2 linked regions of the Caenorhabditis elegans genome follow. The protein of the gene in region 1 interacts with the protein of each later gene in a pairwise test. Each region holds a gene or a part of one and is shown in the gene's direction. Other genes may lie near its edges.

The links.
Region 2: the proteins of W03D8.9 (region 1) and zyg-11 interact in a two-hybrid assay, tested with the Caenorhabditis elegans proteins (one large-scale study listed by BioGRID).

The regions. Positions count from the first base shown.
Region 1 is NC_003279.8:2,783,869-2,788,037, reverse strand, and holds W03D8.9 (Membrane transporter protein), read left to right. Parts: upstream 1-1,960; 5' UTR 1,961-2,010; intron 2,011-2,184; 5' UTR 2,185-2,241; coding exon 2,242-2,443; intron 2,444-2,562; coding exon 2,563-3,224; intron 3,225-3,275; coding exon 3,276-3,371; 3' UTR 3,372-3,418; downstream 3,419-4,169. Other genes in the region: W03D8.14 (uncharacterized protein), read left to right, coding at 1-57; Y71F9B.15 (Glycoprotein), read left to right, coding at 3,767-3,888, 3,930-4,049.
Region 2 is NC_003280.10:8,015,700-8,021,478, forward strand, and holds zyg-11 (Early embryogenesis protein zyg-11), read left to right. Parts: upstream 1-1,980; 5' UTR 1,981-1,992; coding exon 1,993-2,089; intron 2,090-2,132; coding exon 2,133-2,369; intron 2,370-2,412; coding exon 2,413-3,033; intron 3,034-3,085; coding exon 3,086-3,380; intron 3,381-3,429; coding exon 3,430-4,059; intron 4,060-4,105; coding exon 4,106-4,444; intron 4,445-4,501; coding exon 4,502-4,682; 3' UTR 4,683-5,086; downstream 5,087-5,779. Other genes in the region: hda-2 (Putative histone deacetylase 2), read right to left, coding at 5,219-5,779.

The DNA.
Region 1 (4,169 bases):
TCCGCAAGTAATACGAATTTCCTTTTATCCTGCACTTTTTTATTGATATTTTGGTGATTATGGATATAAATTGATTTATTCTCCGGTTGTTTTTTTTTCAGACAAAAATGTGTGCCTGCCTATATTATGCCTACCGATTTGACCGGATTTGCTATATTTGAAAATTTTCCACTGAGCTTCTGAAAGATTCAATTTTTCAAAAATACAATTCTCCCACAAAATTAAAATTGGAGAGTAGAAAGGTAGAAAATTTAAACTATGTAAAAAAATTATGAAAAGGTGGGAGAATTAAGAGTTTGATGACTTTTTCGTAGAAATTAACCTTTTTTGCCACCATTTACTATTTTACAGGTAGAACTGGGAAGGTTTTGTACAACTGAAAATATCAAAACAGAATCAAATCAGATTCGAATCACAAATGCACAAAGACACACAAGAAGCTCGAGACTTTTTAAAAATTAATTAAACGAGCATTCAAATGGATTTTTATTGACACAAGATTGGCACAAGAGATGTAAGTACTATTCAAGCCTTTGGTGGTTCAGCAGATCCAAACAATCCATAGACCAAAGCCTTCGAGAAGAGGAACGAGGAGACCAAGAGGATTTGATACATATGGTGCTGAAAAAAGAATTTTTAAAGTTTGAGTTCATCGGTTATTTGACTTACTCTGTTTGGTGGCGACATGTTCTTGTTGGCAATTTGAAGAAGTGCACCAGAAGCAACACTGTAAAGTGCACTCAAGAGGAAATAAGAGAATGAGAGGCTTCCAGAGACGATTCCAAACACAAGCTGAACACCGAGAGCAGCCCCAATTGCACCGCCCAGCAATGGAGCACGAGCTGTACCAACTTGTCCGGCAATCAATGGATATGCGAATGCAATGACCAATGGAGTGATGAATCCAAGTGGTTGGCCACCCAAGTAAGTGTACGAGATTGAGTGTCCCATCAAAATTCCTTGAGCCAAGGCCAGAACCAACAATTGAAATCTTGTGGCAGAAGTTGAGCCATCCTCAGCATTCAAATAATATGCACCGGCTCCTGGGAGAACAAGAGAGGCGAGAATTGCAGCACCACCTCTTCCAATGAAGATTCCAAAGATTGGCGAGAGCACATATCCACCAATAATGCTGGCAATCCCGGCTCCGAGAAGAAGAATCGAAGACCATCCAAAGATCTCAACAACCGAGGAAGTTGGCAAGGCAACTGGTTGTTGAGTCTCTTGAAGAGCCGAGAGAATCTCCTGGGTTTGTGGTTGGATCTGCGACTGCAGCTGTTGGATTTGAGCAGGCCCGTCTTGTTGAAGAGAAGTGGCACGTTGACGGAGACCTGAAAATTAATAGATGAGTGATGCCAGTTTGCGATGTGTCAATCAGGAATCATGCAGAATTGACATAAATATTGCCAGGTTCTACAGGTTCCACAATCCACAAAAACCAAACTTCCTTACCTTCTGCAGCTTGTTGGATGTCCTGAACGTAATTGGCGTACGTCTTCGTTACAAATCCAATTTATGCATCCTGTCCTCCTGCACCCATTTGTGATCCTCCAGCTTCTGGTGCAGCTGACGGAGCATCAGCAGGTGGTGCGGCATCTGTTGGTGGAGCACCAGCACTGGGCTCCATTGCGGATTGTCCTCCTTCGGCCATTGTTTCACTTGTTCACCAAAAGTGCGGTTTGTAGTCCAAACTCGAGGTGTCGAGTATATCGGTTAATGAATTTTTTGGACGATTTTCTCCTATTTATGCACATAATCCACGTAAATTTGGGGTGGCACGTAAAATGATTATTATTTACTCTTGTTTTTATTCAAAAATAAAAATCACGGAAAAAATGTTTTTTGGAGACTTTTATATTAAGTTTGTACAATTTCAATAAAAACAAGAGTAAAGAATAATCATTTTACGTGCCACCCCCAATTTACGTGGATTATGTTCATAAATAGGAGAGAATCGTCCAAAAATTTTATTAATCGATATACTCGACACTTCGAGTTGGAATCTTCAAGGTTAGTTTGTTATCACTTTACACATGTAAAGCGTGTGTAATACGTGTATCAGTGTTGCGGGGAAATTGCCGACGGGCAATTCTACAAAATGAGCCAGTGTGGCAAGCACCCCTGATACGCGTATTATTGATGAAGTCTTTTCTGGCTTATCGCAATATATATCGGAACTTTTAGCACTCTGTGCAACTCACAAATCCGATACAAACCGCCCTTTTGGTGAACAAGCGAAAAATGGCCGAAGGAGGACAATCCGCAATGGAGCCGAGTGCTGCTGCTCCACCATCTGATGCCGCACCACCTGCTGATGCTGCTCCGTCAATTGCCCCAGAAGCTGGAGGATCTCAAATGGGTGCAGGAGGGCAGGATGCATCAATTGGATTCGTTACGAAGACGTACGCAAATTACGTTCAGGACATCCAACAGGCTGCAGAAGGTAGGGAAGTTTGGTTTTTGTAAAAGGTGGAATCTGTAGAAAACAACATTTATGCCAATTCTGCAAGGTTCCTTATGAACACGTTGCAAACTGGCATTATTTATCTATTAATTTTCCAGGTCTCCGTCAACGTGCCACTGCTCTTCAACAAGATGGGCCTGCTCAAATCCAACAGATGCAGTCGCAGATCCAATCACAAACCCAGGAGATTCTCTCGGCTCTTCAAGAGACTCAACAACCAGTTGGCTTGCCCACTTCCTCGGTTGTTGAGATCTTTGGATGGTCTTCGATCCTTCTTCTCGGAGCCGGGATTGCCAGCATCATTGGTGGATATGTGCTCTCGCCAATCTTTGGAATATTCATTGGAAGAGGTGGTGCTGCAATTCTCGCCTCTCTTGTTCTCCCAGGAGCCGGTGCATATTATTTGAATGCTGAGAATGGCTCAACTTCTGCCACAAGATTTCAATTGTTGGTTCTGGCCTTGGCTCAAGGAATTTTGATGGGACACTCAATCTCGTACACTTACTTGGGTGGCCAACCACTTGGATTCATCACTCCATTGGTCATTGCATTCGCATATCCATTGATTGCCGGACAAGTTGGTACAGCTCGTGCTCCATTGTTGGGCGGTGCAATTGGGGCTGCTCTCGGAGTTCAGCTTGTGTTTGGAATCGTCTCTGGAAGCCTCTCATTCTCCTATTTCCTATTGAGTGCACTTTACAGTGTTGCTTCCGGTGCACTTCTTCAAATTGCCAACAAGAACATGTCGCCACCAAACAGAGTAAGTTAAATACCCGATAAACTTCAAAAACTTCAAAAATCCATTTTTCAGCACCATATGTATCAAATCCTCTTGGTCTCCTCGTTCCTCTTCTCGAAGGCTTTGGTCTATGGATTGTTTGGATCTGCTGAACCACCAAAGGCTTGAATTGAACTTACCCATTTCTTGTGTCAATAAAATGAATTAGAATTCTCCTGATTGTTCAAAAGTTTCATGTTTTTGCAAGTCTTCTCAAGCTTTTTGAGCTCCTGTAATCAGTTCAAACTGATTCCATTTCGTCACAATTTCCGTCAAAACAGATTTTTTTTCTGGAAGGTTTTACTATGGGTTATTTGGGCTCATAGGACTGGTGTTTAACGATTTCCCCACTGTTGCGACATCTGATTTTTGAGATTATTTGCTCCTTTTCAATTTGGTTTTCTATTTTTCAGTTTTTTTCAACCTGAAACCTGAATTTTCTGAGAACGTGAATCACACGGGGTTGAAGAAACTATTCTCCCAATTCTTTTCAATTTTTCCAAGAAAATCAATTGGTAAAAACTATGGTGTTACTGCCGAAATGTCTTGTTTTCTTGGTTTTCCTGGTAACATGCAATGGGCAGATGTTGAAGCTGACCGAAGAGCAAAATGAGAAAAGACTCAAAATCTGTGGGAGATCGGAAAAGTGAGTTTGTCAGCCAATAAATTCCTAATTTTCAATTTCAGATCCGCCTACTATTACGATTTAGACGGAGGATATCGAACTTTTATGGTGTCGCCTTACCACTTTATTACGGATCTTAGCATTATTGGATCAAAATATAGCATGAAATCTTGTAAAGCAGAGTGAGATAGGCATCTTAGGGCTTCCATGGGAGGCAGGCACGGTTTCAAGGCCTGACGCCTGCCTCCAACCTGCCCGCCTCACGCCGGCCTCTCGCTTCATTTCTGCACACTTTTGGTTCC
Region 2 (5,779 bases), on another chromosome or scaffold:
ACCTTCTCTCTTAATTTTTCTTGTTGTAGCCGCCGCTTCCCCCCAGTTCATTTCACCGTGTCTTTCGTTTCTCGAGAACCTTCTTTTTCTTTATTTCTTCCTTTTTTCTTCAAAAAATCAGTGTCAACAAGCTAGACCAGCTGACTTCTCAACTCTTCGGTCATTGCTCTTTTCGTGTTCATTTTGTTACACTTGTACTGCGTGCACATATGAAGATGAATTGGCAACGAATTGTTTGCAAAAGAAGTGATCGGAAGCTTAACTTTTCAGTGTGTGGAGCAGTACAAATACCATGTAGCTTTGTTTTAACTTGTAAGAGAAAAAAAGAGATGAGTAGGCTGGTTATTTCCAATGATTTTGAGATATTTCATGCGAAAAAGTTTACTTTCATCGATCTCACGAAAAACTTTGCACAACTCTCCTGATCTGCAACCAGAAAATTCGTTGTCCTTTCTGTTTTCTTTCTAAATTTTTTTTCTATTTTCGCTTGCCGTCATTATTATTATCCAACATTCGAGAGTATTTAGAGAAAATGAGAGAAAAAATGTGTGCTTTCTTTACAATTGACAGGAGAGAGAGACGTCGGGGAAACCCTCTTCTTCTGATTCTCACCCATCCCGTTATCATGATCACATGACACTTCCCTCCACTCCGGGGTTCCCCGTACTGAATGTAATCAGTTGGTTGGTCGACTACCCAGTCGACGGTGAAAACTTCACGCGAGCATCGCAATTTTCATTTATTTTTTCTTAACTTTTCTCGGTATTAACGCATTTTTTTCTTTTGTACGATACGATGCGACATGATTCAAGGTTGCCTCGATTGATTTTACTGAATTCAGAAGTTCAACCTGACGATTAGTAATTTTATTTATTTTATTCATCGGAAATACGATTAAATACTTAAAGCATTCTCAATATAATTTTATTGACCGTTGACACTCACATGTGAGTTGAGTTGATTTTTAGAAAAGAGACGTAATGGGAAAAAACCACGTGTAGTGTTATCAGCCATTCTCGAATGTCGTTGAAATTGTGCAATACCCGGACAACCACAATCCAGCGAACAAATTGATAATGATAGTTTGAAAAATTGTGTCAACTTATTCAAATTTGCAACAATGTTTAAAAGTGCGTAGATCATGTCTGCGTCTCATCGGGAATGTTGACCGCCTGATGTGCGTGCGCATTCGAAACAATTATCATCGACGTTTTCGAATTATTTTCCTCTCGTCTTCTCGGCATGCGTTTGCGTGCAATCATACCGAAGAAACGGTATAGTATACTGTTCAATCAGTTAGTCACATGTAATAGTTGAAAGGGGTTCCCCATAATGACATGTGATCTTTTCTTCTTTTTCCTTTTCTTCGTACTGTTCTCATGACGTAATGTTCTCTTGATTGAAAAAGAAGTCGTTGTTGAAGGAGAATTGAAAGAGATGCAGAAAAACAAATTATCGATAAATTTTCTGTTGCTATTCAATAAGATTTTTCAACAGTAAGGATGTAGTTTGTAACATACGAATATTAACATATCTTTGCACCCCGTATTAAATCTAATTGGAATTAATTTTTTATGTATCAGCAAAAGATGAAATTTTCGACCGTCTAATAAAAAAATCATTACTTTTATTTTAATATTACTTGTTGCTTAAAAATGCATTTTCGCTCCAATGACATGGCCGAGGACCGTTTAAGGCCGACGTTAATATGCCCATCGTCCAGTGTCCCATACTCTTTTCTACCTCTCCTTTTTCTCTTACTTTCATTTTCTTTGTGTAAGTGTCTGGAACCAGTCTGCTCCTTCTTTCTCATCTATTTTCACCCTCTCACTTTACTATTTGTTCTCATTTTCTATAAATTGCAACCTACATAGTAACTCATAGAGAGTCCCACTAAATATTTATTTAGCCCTCATTCATCAGGCACTTCGATCTCTCTTTACTTTTCACTAATAAAGTTAATTTTACTTTTAATTTCAGATTTCATCTGATATGGATCACAATGCAGCTCTGACGACATGCAGTACCTCGGCCATTCCGAGACTTGCGAGATTGGCGACTGAACGAATTGCTGAGCTCATCGAAAATGGTAAATTTATTGATTTCGGCATTTATGGAAATTAAAGTTTCAGATGCTCTGCCAGAGTTTGATCACAAGGTAATCGCCTCATGCAGCAACGATATTTTTGAAGTTCTTCGCCAAAAAAAGAAACTCAATCATCAAACTTTGCAAACGATGTGCAGTACCTCACGATTCCAAATCAATAAAATTGATTTGATGGGCAACAAGGTTGAGTTGCAAGATTTGGAGCTTTGTTCGAACCAGAACCTGGTTTCATTCCGACTTGGCGATATTGATTACTTTCCAAGTAAGCAGTTTTTGTTAAAACATTTTAATACATTTTTTTTCAGATACGAACAAAATTCAAGTGGCTGACGTGCTTGATACGGCACTCAACCGAACTTCACGACAACAGCTTCGACATCTTGATCTGAGTGGACGACACAGAATCACTTCAAATTGGCCGACGTATGTAGCGAGAAAACTTCCTCGTCTGGAAAGTCTTGCTTTCGCTAACAGAAGCACTGCCAACGAAACTTTGTCACAAATTGGAGCGAGTTTGTTGAATCTTCGGTTCCTGGACATTTCGAGCACCTGTGTCACGGATATTTCTTGCATTTCAAGTCTTCGAAATCTCGAAGTCCTCATTATGTACAACCTGAACATTTTGAAAGGGGATGTCACAGAGACATTGTCTAATTTGACAAAATTGCGTGTATTAGACATTTCAAGAAAAGTCAACACAGACTATTTACAAGAAACGTCACAGGATGCTCATCTCGATTTGGCTCTTGGTATCTACAACAGATCTGTGGAAGCAATTGAGAGCGGGACAGCTACGCCTTGGGCGGAGCTAAGAGCAATTGATATGTCTGGTTTGAGCATTGTTCAATTTGGTACCGATCGAGCACTGGCATTTGTTGAGAAGATTATTGAGGCGCATCCGAAATTAGAGCAAATTAGCTTACTTGGTTAGTAATAGTTTTATTCTGGAAATGTAGTGTTTTAATTCTGAAATTACAGCAACTCCACTCGACTCGTCACTCATTGAGATTCCAAACAGAAATTTGCAAGTGATCAACACAGTCTCGAGAAGATCTATCATTTTTGCATTGTCCCATTATGCAAATCTGGACAGGCCTGCATTCATCACTCATGCTCTCCATTCTGTGTATTACCAGTTACAGTCCGGCTACGACAAGTTTTCACAGGAGGAGTTGAAAGAGTGTTTACGGCTTGTGTGTATCTCGATGCAGCAGGGGCTCAACACTTTGCCAGTGCAGATTGCGGGTAGTGCTTGTCTCTATCATCTTTGCAAGTACGTATTATTATTTTATAAATGTATTTTCCATGATGGAAACTTTCAGAATGAAGCGAATCAAGAGATTATCAGTAAAAGAAGTCAACAATTGCATTGAACGGTCACTTGACGCAGCAGAGCAGTATAGAAGCATGACGCAGCTGCAGAAGAACGTCTGGCTTACAATTTGTAATGATTATCTTCTTCATTTGGATGAAATTGATTTCTACCGTACCTGCAAAGTTGCTCTCGACACGATGCTTTTGAATCGTGATGCCAGCGTTGAGAGAATGACTATTGCAATTGTGTCGATTGTGACTCCAAAGATGCGACCATCAGAAGCAAAGATTCTAACAACTGAAACCAAATATGTATACCATCTTGTCAAAATCATGAATGATTATCTGGAGGCATATACTCGTGAACATCGAGTTGGACACGAACGAGACAATGAAAATGCACTGTATACTCTGAAGTTCACCCTGAGTGCACTCTGGAATCTAACAGACGAATGCCCGGCTACATGCAAAGCATTTTTGGATGCTGGAGGTGTTCAGATTGCGTTCAGAATTCTCAAAGCTTTTGATTATCATGGAAATGTGCAGACGAAGGTTCTTGGCATCCTCAACAACTTGGCCGAAGTGGAAGAATTGCATTTGGGACAGCTTTGCAAAAACGAGTATATTTCTGTTCTTATGTATGTTTTTTAATTCGTTGAATTCAATTTAACCAATTTTTTTCAGTTCTTGTCTTGACGGATCATTCAACGAAGTAGATTCGAAAGGACGGTATCGTGAAGTTGAACGATCTTATTTCGCTGCTGGAATTCTCGCTAATCTTCTGACCAACACTGATGGTTGGGAGAGTGAAAATCAACGTGACGAAGCTTGCGAAAAGCTCTTGGAGCTTATTGAGCAGTATCCCACACTTCCATCGGCAATGGTCTCCTACAAATCTTTCATTCCATTCAGTCGTATTGTTAGAGAGTCAAATTCGAATGGGGCCATCATGTGGTGTTTGTGGGGAGTTCATCACGTTCTTCAACATCGCGAGAAGAACAAAGCGCCTACGTATGAGAAAGGGTACGTTTTTGATTTACTTTTTTCTTAATTTCAAAAATCATTTCAAAACATTTTCAGATACATCGAAATGTTTATGGATTCCGGGCTTTCTCCAATCGTCGAGGATATGTCCCATGGACACTCGAAACACATTCACAATCTGGATATTCGTGTGGTTCATCTCGCACGAGAAATCATTGACATTGTCTCATGCCATTCACTATCTTCCAGCCCAGTTCGATTAGTCCGTCGAGTTTAGTCATTTTTTTGTTTATTTTTTTTATTATTATTTTTGTTTAGCTTTCCCATTTTCAAAGTCCCCATCTACAGGTATATCAAATTGAAACAAGTTATATTTATACGGGTTGATATTTTTATCCGTTTCACCCATAGCAATTAGATTGCATTAAAAACTAAATTAGATGTTTGGTTTCACTATTTTTCACTTCTCCCTGTAATATGTTGAACTGTGAATGTGATTACTTCTGTGGATATTTCATCGGTTGTTTCCATTTCTTTTTCTGTACCCATCCCTACTCACAAATTTGCTCGTCCCACTTTCTTTCGCGGGTATTTTTTCGGGAGTACCATTTCCTCCTTTATGTTTGAAATAGTTGTATATTTTCAGATTCTATTGTGAATGAAAACGTTGAAGCTCTGAAATTTGGTTTATTACTTGAGAAATTTAGAGATCATGCAACAGAAAACAATATAAAATCGGAAATACTGAAAACCAACACAGAAAAGATTTTTGACAAATTCATCACAGTGTTTAATCATTAATTACATGGAAAGTTACGGAATTCCGGGAATATTGAGATCTTTTCGTCTGTCGCGATCTTCATATTTTGCTTCTTCAATAACATCCGAGTGACTTCTCGGTGGAGCCAATCCAGACCTGTCATATCCCCAGTACTGACCAATCCGACGAGGATCTTGACCCGGTGGAAATGATGGAGGTTTTGAGTCTTCTTCTACAAAGCATTCTTCTTCCATTTTCTCTGATACTTTTCCAACTTCATATTCAATTGAAGATTTTGATGATTTTTGTAGTCGTTCATTTTCTTCGATTTGCTCAATTTCGTCGAGCCTGATTCCAACAATATTTTGCATTTGAACTGATGGTGCTCCACGAATCATTCTCAAACATGCCAGCGTTTCTTTTTCAATAGAAGCCAAATATGCCGCAGAATTAGCATCATTCATTTTTGGAACCAAATTTGGGCGAAGAAGTCGTGGAGTGAAATAGTGCGAGTATAATGATGTTCCAGGGATTTCATCGTCCATTCGAAGACCTAAAATGACTCCAGTTTCAAGGGCCCAGCATCTCGCAACATTTCTAAGTGTATATCCACC